3 linked regions of the Drosophila melanogaster genome follow. The protein of the gene in region 2 interacts with the protein of the main gene of each other region in a pairwise test. Each region holds a gene or a part of one and is shown on either strand. Other genes may lie near its edges.

Evidence for each region. Proteins that work in one complex are often made in the same cells at the same time.
Region 1: the proteins of CG33144 (region 2) and side-III interact in a two-hybrid assay, tested with the Drosophila melanogaster proteins (one large-scale study listed by BioGRID).
Region 3: the proteins of CG33144 (region 2) and bocks interact in a two-hybrid assay, tested with the Drosophila melanogaster proteins (one large-scale study listed by BioGRID).

Annotation. Positions count from the first base shown.
Region 1 is NT_033777.3:5,956,502-5,961,110, forward strand, and holds the start of side-III (sidestep III), read right to left. Parts: upstream 3,055-4,609; 5' UTR 2,324-3,054; intron 1-2,323. Other genes in the region: CG11373 (uncharacterized protein), read right to left, coding at 3,981-4,004, 4,289-4,444.
Region 2 is NT_033778.4:10,795,653-10,800,513, forward strand, and holds the start of CG33144 (uncharacterized protein), read right to left. Parts: upstream 3,058-4,861; 5' UTR 2,688-3,057; intron 1-2,687.
Region 3 is NT_033777.3:9,588,914-9,592,529, reverse strand, and holds bocks (bocksbeutel), read left to right. Parts: upstream 1-1,527; 5' UTR 1,528-1,600; coding exon 1,601-2,800; 3' UTR 2,801-3,062; downstream 3,063-3,616. Other genes in the region: P58IPK, read right to left, coding at 3,248-3,616. UniProt on the Drosophila melanogaster protein: Inner nuclear membrane protein. May have a role in maintaining the structural integrity of the nuclear lamina. During pupal development, plays essential and redundant functions with the other LEM domain proteins; MAN1 and Ote.

The DNA.
Region 1 (4,609 bases), on a different chromosome or scaffold from region 2:
TAAGCTGAACTTTTTTTCTGGCTTCTTTGAAAGCTGGTTCATCAAATTCCATAAACCCAACCGAATGGAATAAGTTACTTTAAATTTGTAGGTAGAGCTATACCAGACACATTTTCCTACATTTTCTCTATGTAAGCCGGAATTTTACGAGCATTCCAATAATTGGTGCCCGGATATGCAACGCCTTTCGGCGTCCTACTCGCATCGCTTTTGCTTCTAGTCCTTAAAGCTTTCACTTGGGAATCCTAAATCAGCCTTACGATCATAAAACGTCCATACTTCATTCCGATTCTGAGCCCGATTCTCTTCCGTTGCCTTGGAAGCTCACTAGGTCAACACAAATCAGCATAAGCCACACAACTCCACATCGGACAATAACATTTTTATGTGTTAAGCTTTATGACAAAAGGCCAACACGAATGCGAAGGCAGGAGCAAGTGCACAGGGAAAGCCTCAGTACGTGAAAGTTGCTGCAAGTCGGCATAGAAAGTTTACCGATTTGTTTTGGCCGTAATAAATTCGGACAGCTGTAAGCAAGCAACAAATGGGGAATAAGCAAAACAAACGGTCTCGGCCACTGCAATAGTTCAAAGGAAAAGTCAAGGACCCAGGGGCTCGCTGTTGCTTAGGCACTTGGTCCTTTTTTCTGCGTTCCCGAGCAGCGAAGAATCAATCTTTTTCCACAGCTGCTCCACATGTTCCTCGTTTTGCGAGTGCCACTGTCAGAAATGTTGAGCTTGTGTAAACGACCAAGCAGCCAAGTGGGCGTCGAGATGTTCGTTCGGCTTTCTGCCAGCCATTCGCAGTTAACCCGTTATTTACTCAGGATCTGGGAAAACCTATCGCCATCATTTAAGCAAATATTATTCCATTATAACGGAAATTTGAAAATTAATAGACCATCTAGAACTGTTTAAGGCTTAGAACACCCATTTGCATTGTGCTTTCATAAATTAGTAGCAACATTTGCATTCACTATGTAATAAATATAAAATTTGGTACATTTTTCCAAAACAAATAAAGGTTGCAAATAATGCTTACAGAAAAAGTAAGGAAAATGCCCCCGAATGTGGAAGCGAGTTTCTAAATGGGTTAATTCCATTCCACATCCACTAAAAAAAAACGTATTGTGCGTGTTTCTCTGGCTGCACTTGTTTTGTTTTTCTTGGCTTGTTTTTATTTCGTTAATTTTGTTGTTGAGGCATCTGTTGCCCGGCTTCTGTTTTTCCTGTATCTGTATTTGTATTTGTTGATGTGCTTGTGTTTGTGTTGGTTTGTTTGCCCTAGCCCCTGCCAAGTAAAATAATTTTAAATGTAATTCTCGGATGCGCCTACCACTCGGATATGCATCCCATTGGATGTCCTGGCCCACTTGAGAGTGGAGTGTTACTTTTGGCAAATGTCAGAGTGCCTCTACACACACTCCAGATCCACGCTACCCGTCGAGTTTATTTTTCAGCTCATGAACCCCTAAAGTCCTGGCACGGAAATCCCCCTGCTTCTCGAAACCCTCAACCCCCTAACTATGAGTGCACATCTCCTGTTGGCAGGGACATGCATAAATATTATAAAACGTGCTGCTGCCGCAGATAGGTAAGTGCAGATGCCGGCTGTCTGGCCAAAATGCTTAGCCCGGCCCTTGCAAATAAGCCCACTTGCCGATTGTCTGTCCTTGGGCCTATCTGAGCCCGGTTTTTGGCGTACTCTTTGGCTTGTTGTAAGCAGCTTTCATGGCCGGGCTAACTGGCTTAAACCACTTTGTGCAGGAGGCGGCCATAAATTTCGGTCAAATGCTGGTACAAATCTGCACAATGCTTTATCATTTTTATTTTGATTTGGCACTGAGAAGTTTTCCTTTGTTCGAGCGAATTTTATTCAAAAAGGAATACGGGAAATGCCTTTAACGAATGTATATAATTTTTAACTTTGTCTTCAATTTCCCATTGTATAATGGGCTTCGGAAATATTTGTATTCATTTGTTTTGCTAATAACCCTATTCGCTTGGGAATTTTAATTGAAAAATGTCCATAATAACACATTAAAAATGTATTGGTGTTCTGCTGACGAAACAAATACATCGATTCCTTGACCAGTGGGTGGCTGAGCTCAAGGCAATTAATTGCCAGTTAAATGCTATTAAGTGCAGCACGCAGAAGGATTCCATGAATATATTACGCCCGCGACAGCCGATTTAATCGAGAACAAGACGATAAACATTAACGAAACCCGTTTCGAATTGCGAATTAAAGTCGCTTTTCGCTTAAACCGGGATTTGTCATATGCAGAGTCAAATACTTAATTAACTTGCAGTTCCATACGCACTTTTCGAGGACGCGGCAGGGTGCAGAATGTTGGTGGCAGGTGCAGGTGGCAGGTTGCAGGTTGCAGGTGAAGCAATCCGTGCGGCAATCGCGATAAGTGCACCAACAAATGGTTGGCAAATCTGGAGCACTCGCAAAGTCCACAAACAATGTGCAAAAGGTCGCGCGAGTTGGGGACTTACAAGTTTAATAAAGTCATATACACGCACTCCCGATGGCCAAGATGCCAATACACATAATTGTAAGGATGTGTGTATATGTATGAATTGTAGGGGCCACGGCTCAGTCTGACTTTTCCGGCAGAATGACCGACGAACGAAATGTGACCGAAATACACCATCAATTTTTAATATCTATTTAACATTTCAATCAGCGGAATCGCAGCGCTCGCCGCTCGATTCGTATGCAAATTTTAATTAATATTTAATTTTTCATTCATTGTATTTCTGTGTTTTGCCTGCAATTTTAATGACGCATCGCGGAGCGCTAATAAAATTAAATGGCCCAAACAACACAGGACCGATCCACTCACACAGATATTCCGGCACTCACACACTCTCACACAGGCACACTCGACCGAATGAGTTGTGCTTTAGCTTCCTTTTTCGTTTGGCTTGCTTGCTTGTTTTGTGGGTTCCACGCGCCGCGTTTTGCTCCTCCAGCGGATTGGATTTTCGCGTATCGTTGAGCAGAAGACCGTAGCGCCACGTTCCGACACGAATACGAAACTGAGCCACGGCATTGGCAAAAACGCTGCCGAGCACCAAAATATCCTTTGGCTCGGTCGATTCCATCTCGGGGACTTTTGCGCTCGTCGCGCGAAGAGGTCCCTCGGAGGACCAACCTCGTTTTCACTCAATTACCGAATGAAAGTAAAAATGGCACGAGCTCGGCGAAGAGAGTGTATCGGCAGCTTGAGTTTGTTTTGGTTTAAATTGCATTTAAGGAACTGCCAAGGTAGGCCTATCCCAAGCAATTTTACATTCTCGTCCTGCAGGATGATTTTAAATAGAGAACTGTCCATAAGTTGAGTTACAGTTTTATTTACGAATGAAATATCTCCATTATGTTTATCAAATGTTTGTATTATTGACGTTTTTTTATCTTTGCTGGTACCAATGTGACCAAGAACTATCCTTCTTCAAGCTATGAACCCACTAATCATTTTAAAACCATCCTATTTATCTAAAGTTATTCAGCAACTTTTTGTACGTCTTAAGTATCCATAAAAAGGACAGCGGACAAGTTTCTTGACGTTTTTAATAAGCCCCTTATAGTAAAAATAATACCAGTTAACACTCTTATTGACTTAAATATTTTTTTAAGACTCAAAGCCAGCTTCAGGCAAACTGAGATGAAAAGTACCCCTTAAAGAGAAAATTTCCCAACAAGCTCAAACACTACTCTCTTCTCTGCGAGGACAAGCGCCTGCGCTTATTCCAACTTCCAGTCAGCTTATCAAGAAATTATAAGAGTAATTTCCCTTTTGGGATTTATTCGCTTTATTCAGCGCTTTAGACGTCAAAGAATCCGTACATTTTATAAAAAAAGAATATCAGGATTTAAAACGTGGATCCAATTTGGGGACCTGAAATCATAAAATCATAAGTCAACAGTTATTCAAATTTTAATAACTTACCGAATATTTTTAGATATTATTACATCTTCATAATCTTCCAAATCTGTAAAATTTTCAACAGTTAATATATTCAACTTTCTTGTTATCGAAATAGCTGAGTTAAAAACAGCTGTACATTTCTCATTATTGAAAAAGCAATTATTCATAAAGATATTGTTATTGTTATTCAGTTGCCACCATTTTTATAACGTATAATGAAAAGAGGGGATTCAATTACTCATGCATAGGTGTTTGTAATTCAATTAGTCGAATCGAATCCAAACATTAGGATGTAGTGATTAATTCATCGATTATATTCTCATTTGCAAAAAATCTAAAAAATCTTACCCTATCGTGTGCATTTGGCAATGGTGGTCGAACCACTCCAGTTCCTGTGGGTTTGCTCCTGCTGGTGGTGGGATTGGATGAGGATGTGGAGGGCCTGGTCCCCTTTATGCTGGTCAGGGGCCTCGGAGCCGACTTTGCTGATGGTTTTTCGGGCATTTTAGCGGCGCGTTACGAAAATTGTCTGAGACTATTGACAGTAAAATTTACACATGTTTCAATCACTTGTGTGCTACACCGATTGAATTTAATGTGGCCGCCCACTAGATGCCTAGGATATCGAATCAAATTCATATAAAGTCTTTCAGAATGCAAACGAATACA
Region 2 (4,861 bases):
CGCCCATTAACAGAACTCTTTTATGGCCGCTCCGCCCTCTGTTTGTGTCCCTGGAGAAAAGGGCTCGATTAGGGGACGATGTGAGGGGGCGTGTACTATCAGCTGTTTCCCATTATGACTACAGCGGAAATACACAAGCAAGTGGAAAACAGTCGAGGAAAAGCGGAAGCAAAAAAAAGGCCGCCACTGGCAATGCAAACACAGTAACACACTAAGGCACAAGCAAAACTCGCTTACACACGCAAGGCGATAAAAATAAAGCGAAGCCCACGGAACGAGAGGCAAAAATTGGAACTAAATGCGTATACGTAATGTGATAGAACCCACCTAAAAAAAAGGGAACTACGGAGTGATAATAAAACAATGGCACCGTTGACGACACTTCTCAACAAACATTAAGTAAGGGGAAAGAAACTTTAAATAGCTTTTTTTTTCGAAAAATATCCTTTAAACTCAAGTTCAGATAGATGTAAAATAGCCCTATTTTCTATATGAAGAAATGACCACCTATACTGTATCTAAATATTTTGTAGTTACTATTTTTCTTCGTTTTTGTAGTTCACTCGATAAGGTTAAGCAAAAAATGCCAGCAAAAAAGCAGAATCGAAAGGAAAAACAACTTTTCGTGGAAATACCGTGGTGAAAATCGAAAACCGAGAAAAGCGAAAAACAAAAAAAAATGTTATAACCACACAAAACTCACACATCCAGACACATAAAGCTACTTAAGCCCGGACACATCGCACACATTCAAGCGAGGGGAACCCCCCCCCCCCCCTGACAGCTGCCATGGCAAACGTGCGAAAGGGACGAAAGAGGCGATAGGAGCGACAGGGACGGGCAGAAACAAACAGTGGGACACGGAGCTTGTCACTTTATTTGGCTCGATTTCAATGCACTGCCAACTTGGGCATATTAGTATGCAAAACTGATAATCAATAGGCGACGACTCAATGCCCAACGCTCAGTGGAGATTATGGCGCAATTTGCATACGGGCATGTGCCATTTGAAGATGTCACCACCCGTATCCCTTATACCGGGAAATCCTCTGAATTCGTCCTCTCAACTCCGACCAGCGAAGGACTCGCTGTCGTTTAATTGAGCCAGACCATCGCCAGCGTACAATTTGGTGTTCTATGTGTGGAGCGCGAATTTTTTTCGCCCTTAATTGAAATACGGGATAATGACTCCAAAAAGCTTTCAGTCTAACTTGCCCTGCAACGATGGATTGCATAGATCAAACATTTGAAAGTGCAAGAAACTGGCTGGAAAACTGTACAGCAAATCGCAATTTGGTGGCCAATGTCATTTGTCAAACTATAAAATTGGGTTTTCTTAACTAATAAGCTTAAACAACTTGTAAAATAAGTTGTCACACTGATCGATTCTTTAGCTCAAAGAAAAAATAAATTTCTTTTGAATAAATATGTATTTTATAATATTAATGCCAATTAAAAAAGTACTCGCATTCAAGGTAGGTTTTCTCCAAAACATTTATTAATCTACACGAGCATTTTTATACCTATTGCTTTCCTAATATTGAAATGAAATGCTGGCAGGAAATACCATAAATATGAAATGCTATACCTTTTCATCGGTTCCTTACGACCTCTTCGCTGAAATTTTTCAATAACTCTCTGGGGATTTTATGGTCGCAATTTGCAATTTATCATCAATTTGATGTGCAAAGGGCCGAACATAAAAGTGGCTCAAATGGTAAATGTAACAAAGGGCAATAACGACGTATGTATATGGCTGCAGCAGGCGACTGACTAACCCCCAACTAGATCCATAAGCGTAAAGCTTGATTTTCTATTGATTTCTGGTCAGAAGCTCACTGCTATCACCTGAAATTCTGAGTGAAATGCACCTGCTGCTCCTACACGAAGAGAAACGTCACACTCTTTGATAGGTTAATGCCAGTACCGAATTAAGTTGCCCATACATTAAAACCTAAAATCTCTTTTTTATTGCAGTACAACAGAAATTTTGAACATTACAATTCATAGTGGTTTATTTTATGCGAATTTATTGTTGTTGCCCATTTAAAAGATTATGAAAATATTTTATTTTATATATTTATCATGTAATGTATTCATGTACTACAATTTTCTCCAAGTATTCCTGAGTTAACTCTTCAGCAGAATAGCAAAAACTATAGCATACTTATGGGCCGCTTTGAGAGTTGCCATAAGACGCTTAATAACTGTGAGTAGTGCCCAGCAGGGGCGTGTATGAGGAGGGCACATGGCAAGGACATGGGCGTCGAATTGAGGGTACTCCGTCCGATGTACGTGCCAATGGCCGTAGTCGCAGTAATAAACACACGCACAGCCCAGTTAACACAGAAATATGCCCCAAGTGTCAGGGCGGGCAAAACATGCGATGATGAGTGGGGAAAGTAGAGAGGAAATGCGGGGGGGGGGAGCCCAAGGAAATGGGAAATGGATTTTCAGTGGCCTTTGTAATTGTTGTTTTTTGTATTATTCTTGTTTTTCTTTTGTTTTTTTTATAATTACTGCGATAGAGCTGGTTTTTGTGTGTAAGTGTGTTGCTGTGGTAAGCACACATAACGGTAATTTAATTAACATACATAAACACTCACACCGGCACACATAAGGAGAATGTGGCACACAAAGAAAGGTGAAAGGTTGGCGGAGGGGGTTTTACTTCTTTGGGCACTTACGAATCGGTTTCACAAACTTTTCGACCCTTTGTAATCGATTTCGAAATGGGGGTCTAACACGGTTTTAATTAAGATATTTATACTTTCGAAAAGCACTTGACAATTTTTGATTATTTTCAATATACTATTTTAATTCTTGATTTGATCAACAAGCGCACACTAATTTCGGCTATACTTTTTATATATTTATAATTTTGTAAATTTTTTTTTATGATTTAACTATATATCTTTGGAGGTGTGTGTTTACAGGTTCCTTTTTGATTTTATTGTGTTGGCATTTTGCTGCTTTGCCGCCGGATGTTGCACGTTGCGCCAGCACTTCCGCTTTGCGACCGAACCAACCGTCGAGAAACGCGTTCCGCAAGCGAATAAACAAACGGACTTCCACCGCACACATTTGTCGCACTTCCATGGCCAGTGTTGCCGTGCTGCACGTCCTGCGCACTGCGCACGACGCGAGAAGAGAGAGTTTCCCTCTCCCGCTGCTCTCTTCGAAATGCAACCTGCTGACGGAACATCTGTGTTTTTGTTATTATGCTTTTGTCAGGGCAACAGCAACAACTGTAGCATTCAATTGCAATTGTGGCAACCGAACATCCATGTATTTCAATTACACTCACTCGTATGTCGGGGTCACCGAAAATAACTGCCGACTAATTGATGGCGCACAAACGATTTAGGAGCACATTTTGATTGATTATTGCGAACTTTACATATGCATAAGTATGAACGTATACGTCCAGTAATTAATCTGAGTTGTCATAGGAACAAGATATAGATATCAAATATTTAACGAATTGCTATTGTCTAAGATGGTCGTATTCATCAGAAATATATCTGAAATATACATATATCAATATGTGTAATAATATAGACAGGTAATTTCTTCTAGCCAACTATATTGGTATTGAAGTTTAGAAGTGGGTTATTGCAATGATTTTTATTTTTAATATTGGCTTTATGCCTGTGAAAATAATCAAAAATTGGTAATAATGTCAATTTAAAGGAACCCGGTTTTTTCGAAGCACAAATATGTGGCTTGGACAGCTCAAGTACAGCGCCTTTTTTGCAGGACGATTTCCACACAATTGCAGGATTTTGTGCCTCGTCGACGACGCTGCTTAATGTCAAGGTTTTTTGGCTGCTGTTGCAAGTGCAGCAGCAGCAGGAAAAACAGGAAAACCAGAAACGGCCGAATGAGAACGGCACGTGGCCAGCCCCCGCAACGAAAAGGGGCCAGAAAGGGGGTCGATTATGCCATTACCAGGGCAAAGCTGCACCTTCCGCCCCCGGAACCCCCAACCCCCTGCCAGTGCGCCGCGCATGAATGCCGCGACAGACCCGATTCGAAAGCCAATGTCAAGTGCACGCGGCACAAGGATATGGAGGCAGGAGTATATTACAGGCCGCCATCTGCCCCACTGTCAGTTCCCCTTCCTCAGTGCCCACAGCAGCTACAGTGGAGCTTCTATAAATTGACATTGGGCTTTCATCAATATTGAACTCTTCGATATGGACTGGCTTATGAAGACTCGTTTATAATAACACATAAATCCTATTTTCATATACGGCTTAAGTTTGACATACACAGGCTCGACTGTACCTCATCATCGAGCATTAGGACGGTCGTTGTTGTGACCTCCAAATTGGTTGGCACACTCACCTAAATGGGAGTTTATCTATATTTTATGTGCACGACTTATACCTCAGGCCCATTTCACTTGATCACCAATTAGTGACTATATGCTCAATATTTGCCAATATCAAACATCAGGTGCTTCGTCAATTAACTTGTTAATTAGATAGGAAATAGATTCTGTGGTTATAATTGTTTTTGTACCGTATTATAATTGTTACTACTTATTGTAGACGAATTTACATTAATCGATATCCATCCAAATTAGTCTGCGAATTCATTAGTTCAACAAACTACTCAAGGATGATGAACTTTTACTAAAACTAATTCCGTTCATCGGCTTTAAATAAAATAAATCAACTGTTTCATAATAGTAATTAATAAGTCATATTAGTCATATAAATAATAAGGGTCCACACACAAAATTGAATACAAGATAAAACGCTCTTCTCATTTGATATTTATTCAAATTATTATTTAATGTAAGTTTTGAACTTATTTATGTTAAATAACCTAGTGAGAATGAAATACAATGTTT
Region 3 (3,616 bases), on a different chromosome or scaffold from region 2:
GGTAACAATAAATAACATTTGGAGCTACTTGAAATCAGCAAATTCACATGTACAAGCCACTCCAAAAATAGCACCAAATATGTATGTGCCTAAATCACTGATATTAACATTTAGTTTGAAACCCCATTTCTTCCTTGCAACCCCCGATGCTTCTTTTTAGATGAATTCTTAATTATGAGTAAATATATCTTCATGAATACAATTGTTCAAATGCTCTTTGTGAGTACATTCCTTGGAATTCGTTATAAGTGCAACGTAAACAATATTTAAAGAATACCCGGTGGTCGGTCCTATTGGGCATTCTAAGCTGCAGAAGTGTAAAAAGGGTTGGTTTTATTGCTCACCTGGTGTTAATTGTTGCGGCAACAGGTAGTTCTTCTGGTGGAGTAGACTGGTGAACTGGACTGCCGATAAGAAGGAGGCCACGCGCAGAGTTTGAGTTTGGGCAATAGCAATATCGAAATGTAATAAACCAAATACCAGAAAGGCAATTACTCGTTCACTTTCGATTCGATCGGCCGATAAGGAATTTTACAGGGAAAACACGATGTCAACACGTTTAAACAAAGAACAAACGCACTTATTTTCTGTTTGCGCTTAACAAAAAAACAAAAACCCAAATACGAGGATATTTTTTTTTTCGTTTAGTATTTATATCTACTTTGATTCGTTGTTGTTTTTCACGTTTTATGTGTTTGTTTTTGTCCCGCTTGCTCTTTTTTGGGGCGCCTTTCTCGCTCTTGTCCGCTTTAACCGGTTTTTTGGTTTATGTTTATGCTGCTGCTTCTACTGCTGCTGTTGTTGCTGTTTTTGTTTCCCTTGCTCTTGCTTGGCTAAATGGAAAATATGCTGCAATTGCAGCCAGCAAATTGTCGAATGTTTCCAGCCACTTGCTTTGCTACTCGAAATCGATGCCAAAAACTTTAATAACACCCGCGATTGAGGTAAACAAAAGTGTAATAAGCGAAGTGAGGCACACACGCAGGCGCAGAAAAGCAAAAAGGTGAAGAAATATTGGCCGCCAAACAGGTGCAAATGATTCACGATTGTTTTTCCACAATCCACTGTTTATGTTACGATGCTATATCTCCTCAGTTTTCCGCACTGCGACTTGGGGATTTTCTTTGGCTTGGCGAGCGCTTTCCGCGCGGCGATTCGTTTAATTCGAGCGTCTTGTTTGCGATTGAACACCTGTTGCGCGTTCGATTTTCATAAAACTAACTGTGTGACCGTCGGGCGTTAGTTGAAATAAACCATAGCAAGCGTATCCAACCAGGTCTGGCAGCACTGCTGTAAATGTTTAGTTGTAGGCATTTTATAACACTGCACATGAGGCGATTGCACATAAAATATCGAGTTAAGTTTTTCTTCAAGTAGTTTGTTCTTCTGTCTGATGTTAAAAAATTGTTTTTACTTTCGTGCACAGCTCATCCAGCATATGAAATCTAGCTATAGTTTGTCAAACAACATTACTTTAGCAGCAATCGATAGGCGTGCACTTAGATTGAACATTCTATCGCTGCCGTTCCATCACTAATAGACAACATTGTGACGACATTGCTATTTTTGTGTGTTTTGAGTTTCACCACGGCGGAAAATAATGTCGGACCTTTCTTACCTGGACACGTTGGGCAACAAGGAGCTGCTGGCCAAGTGCCTGGAGCACGGCCTGCCCGGTGTTCCCGTGACGGACAGCACCCGCAGCGTCATAATTCGCCGACTAAAGGCCAAAATCACCGGGGTTCCGCTGAACAAAAGCAAATCTGCAAGTAAGAAAGCGATTCCGAGGCGTGAGACCGTACACGGCAGCCAGGTAACGACGCCCACATCGGAGCCAGTGCGTCGTACGCCCGGCAAGAGTGCAGGACGCACTAGCAGCAACAACAACAAGATCAGCGAACAAAGTCGTCGCACAATCGCCTATGGACTAGACAACACCTCGATCTCGGGAAGATCTGTGCAGACTACTACCACGGTGTCGGATATGAGCTCCCAGTCGGAGGACGACGACTCCTACATGGTGGACTCTCCGGTGCCTAATTACTCCAAGGACCAGCAGCCTAGACGTTATGTTTCTCTAGCCAAATCCGGAGTTTTGACCACATCTTACACACGCGAAGTTGACCAGCCGCTGTACGAACAGGAGGATATACCACGCAGCTACACCTACGAAAGACCCCATGTGCCAGCCGCCACTCTTCACGCACTTCCCACATACGAGCCACGCATCGAACCTTCGACATACAGACCCACAGATTTGGGTTTTTCGCGTCCCCTGCTGACTCAAACCAACTTAAACTCAACCAGCTACGAGGAGTCATCTACGTACAATCCAAAACTTTCACCCATTTCGCCAAGAAACACTTTCAGCGGATCCGCTAGGCCTTTTGGTGGCCCAGCACCAGCTCCAGCACCCATTCGCCAGCGACAGAGTGTTCCAGTTAGTGGATCCAATCTGGCCCGTGGTCGCCTGCTCCAGCCGACCACCGCAGTAAACACTCTATATCCACAACTAAATGAATTCTACGATCAGCCGAATGACGCAGGCGAACCCATGGAGACGGAGAGCGAGTCCGAAGTCGAGGAAGTACCCATCAATAGCCATTTCCAAAAGAATCGCTTCTCGCCGCTGGCTAGAAAACCTCTGGTAAGACACCACGATCAGGTTTCGCCTATGGCGCAGTTCCGTGCACTGGCGGTGTCATTGGATCAAAAATATAATCTCAAATTCTACTTAATATTGGTAGTGTCAGTGATGCTGGCCACCATGGTGTACGTGGTATTGACACCCAACGCCTGAGAAGCGTTCATATCGCGGAATACATTTGGTTTTGGTTACTCCACGCATTTCAACCACAGACTACAGCGAAGGAATATTTATGACGACTTTGCACCTTAAGACTACTACTTCAATTCCAAACATGTTCAAAACTAACAAATATTCAACTCAATTTGCCAAGTCTTTAATTGCTTGTTCTCGCATATTGTTTCTTTTTATACATAATTAGAAAAATGTACTACATTATAATTATTGTATTGTATTAAATAAACTAATTAAATGTAAGTGCTCAGTGTGTTTTGTTGCGATTTGTGTTTGTTTGTGGTACTCTCTGACAACGGACCATGGGTTTATTTATGCTTTATGCTACTATTTACACGCCATTTAAATGAACAAAACAGTGTAAAATCGTTAAAGGATATCGGGGATCGCGGCTAGGACATCACAAAGCAAATGGCTGCTGGCTGACTAATTGAAGTGGAACTTGAACTGGAACGGCGACCCGTGTTGGAAGTGTCCAAACGGATGTTCGCCATGGAAGCCGCCACGCTGATTGCTCTCAGGATCTAATGGATCCTCGCCGTTGTCGAATTGACGACGCTTCTCGGGATCCGTGAGAACCTCCTTGGCTGCGGCAATGTCAATAAACTTTTTCTCGGCCACCTTCTTTTCCTCGTCGCGGAAGTTGTCCGGATGCCACTTTTGCGCCGCCTTCCTGTAGGCCTTCACAATCTCCTGTTTGCTGGCGCTACGCTTAACGCCTAATATCTTATAGTAATCCCTGCGCTCTGACTGCTTCTGCAGCTTCTTTGCCCTCTGGATGCCTTCTTTAGCGCG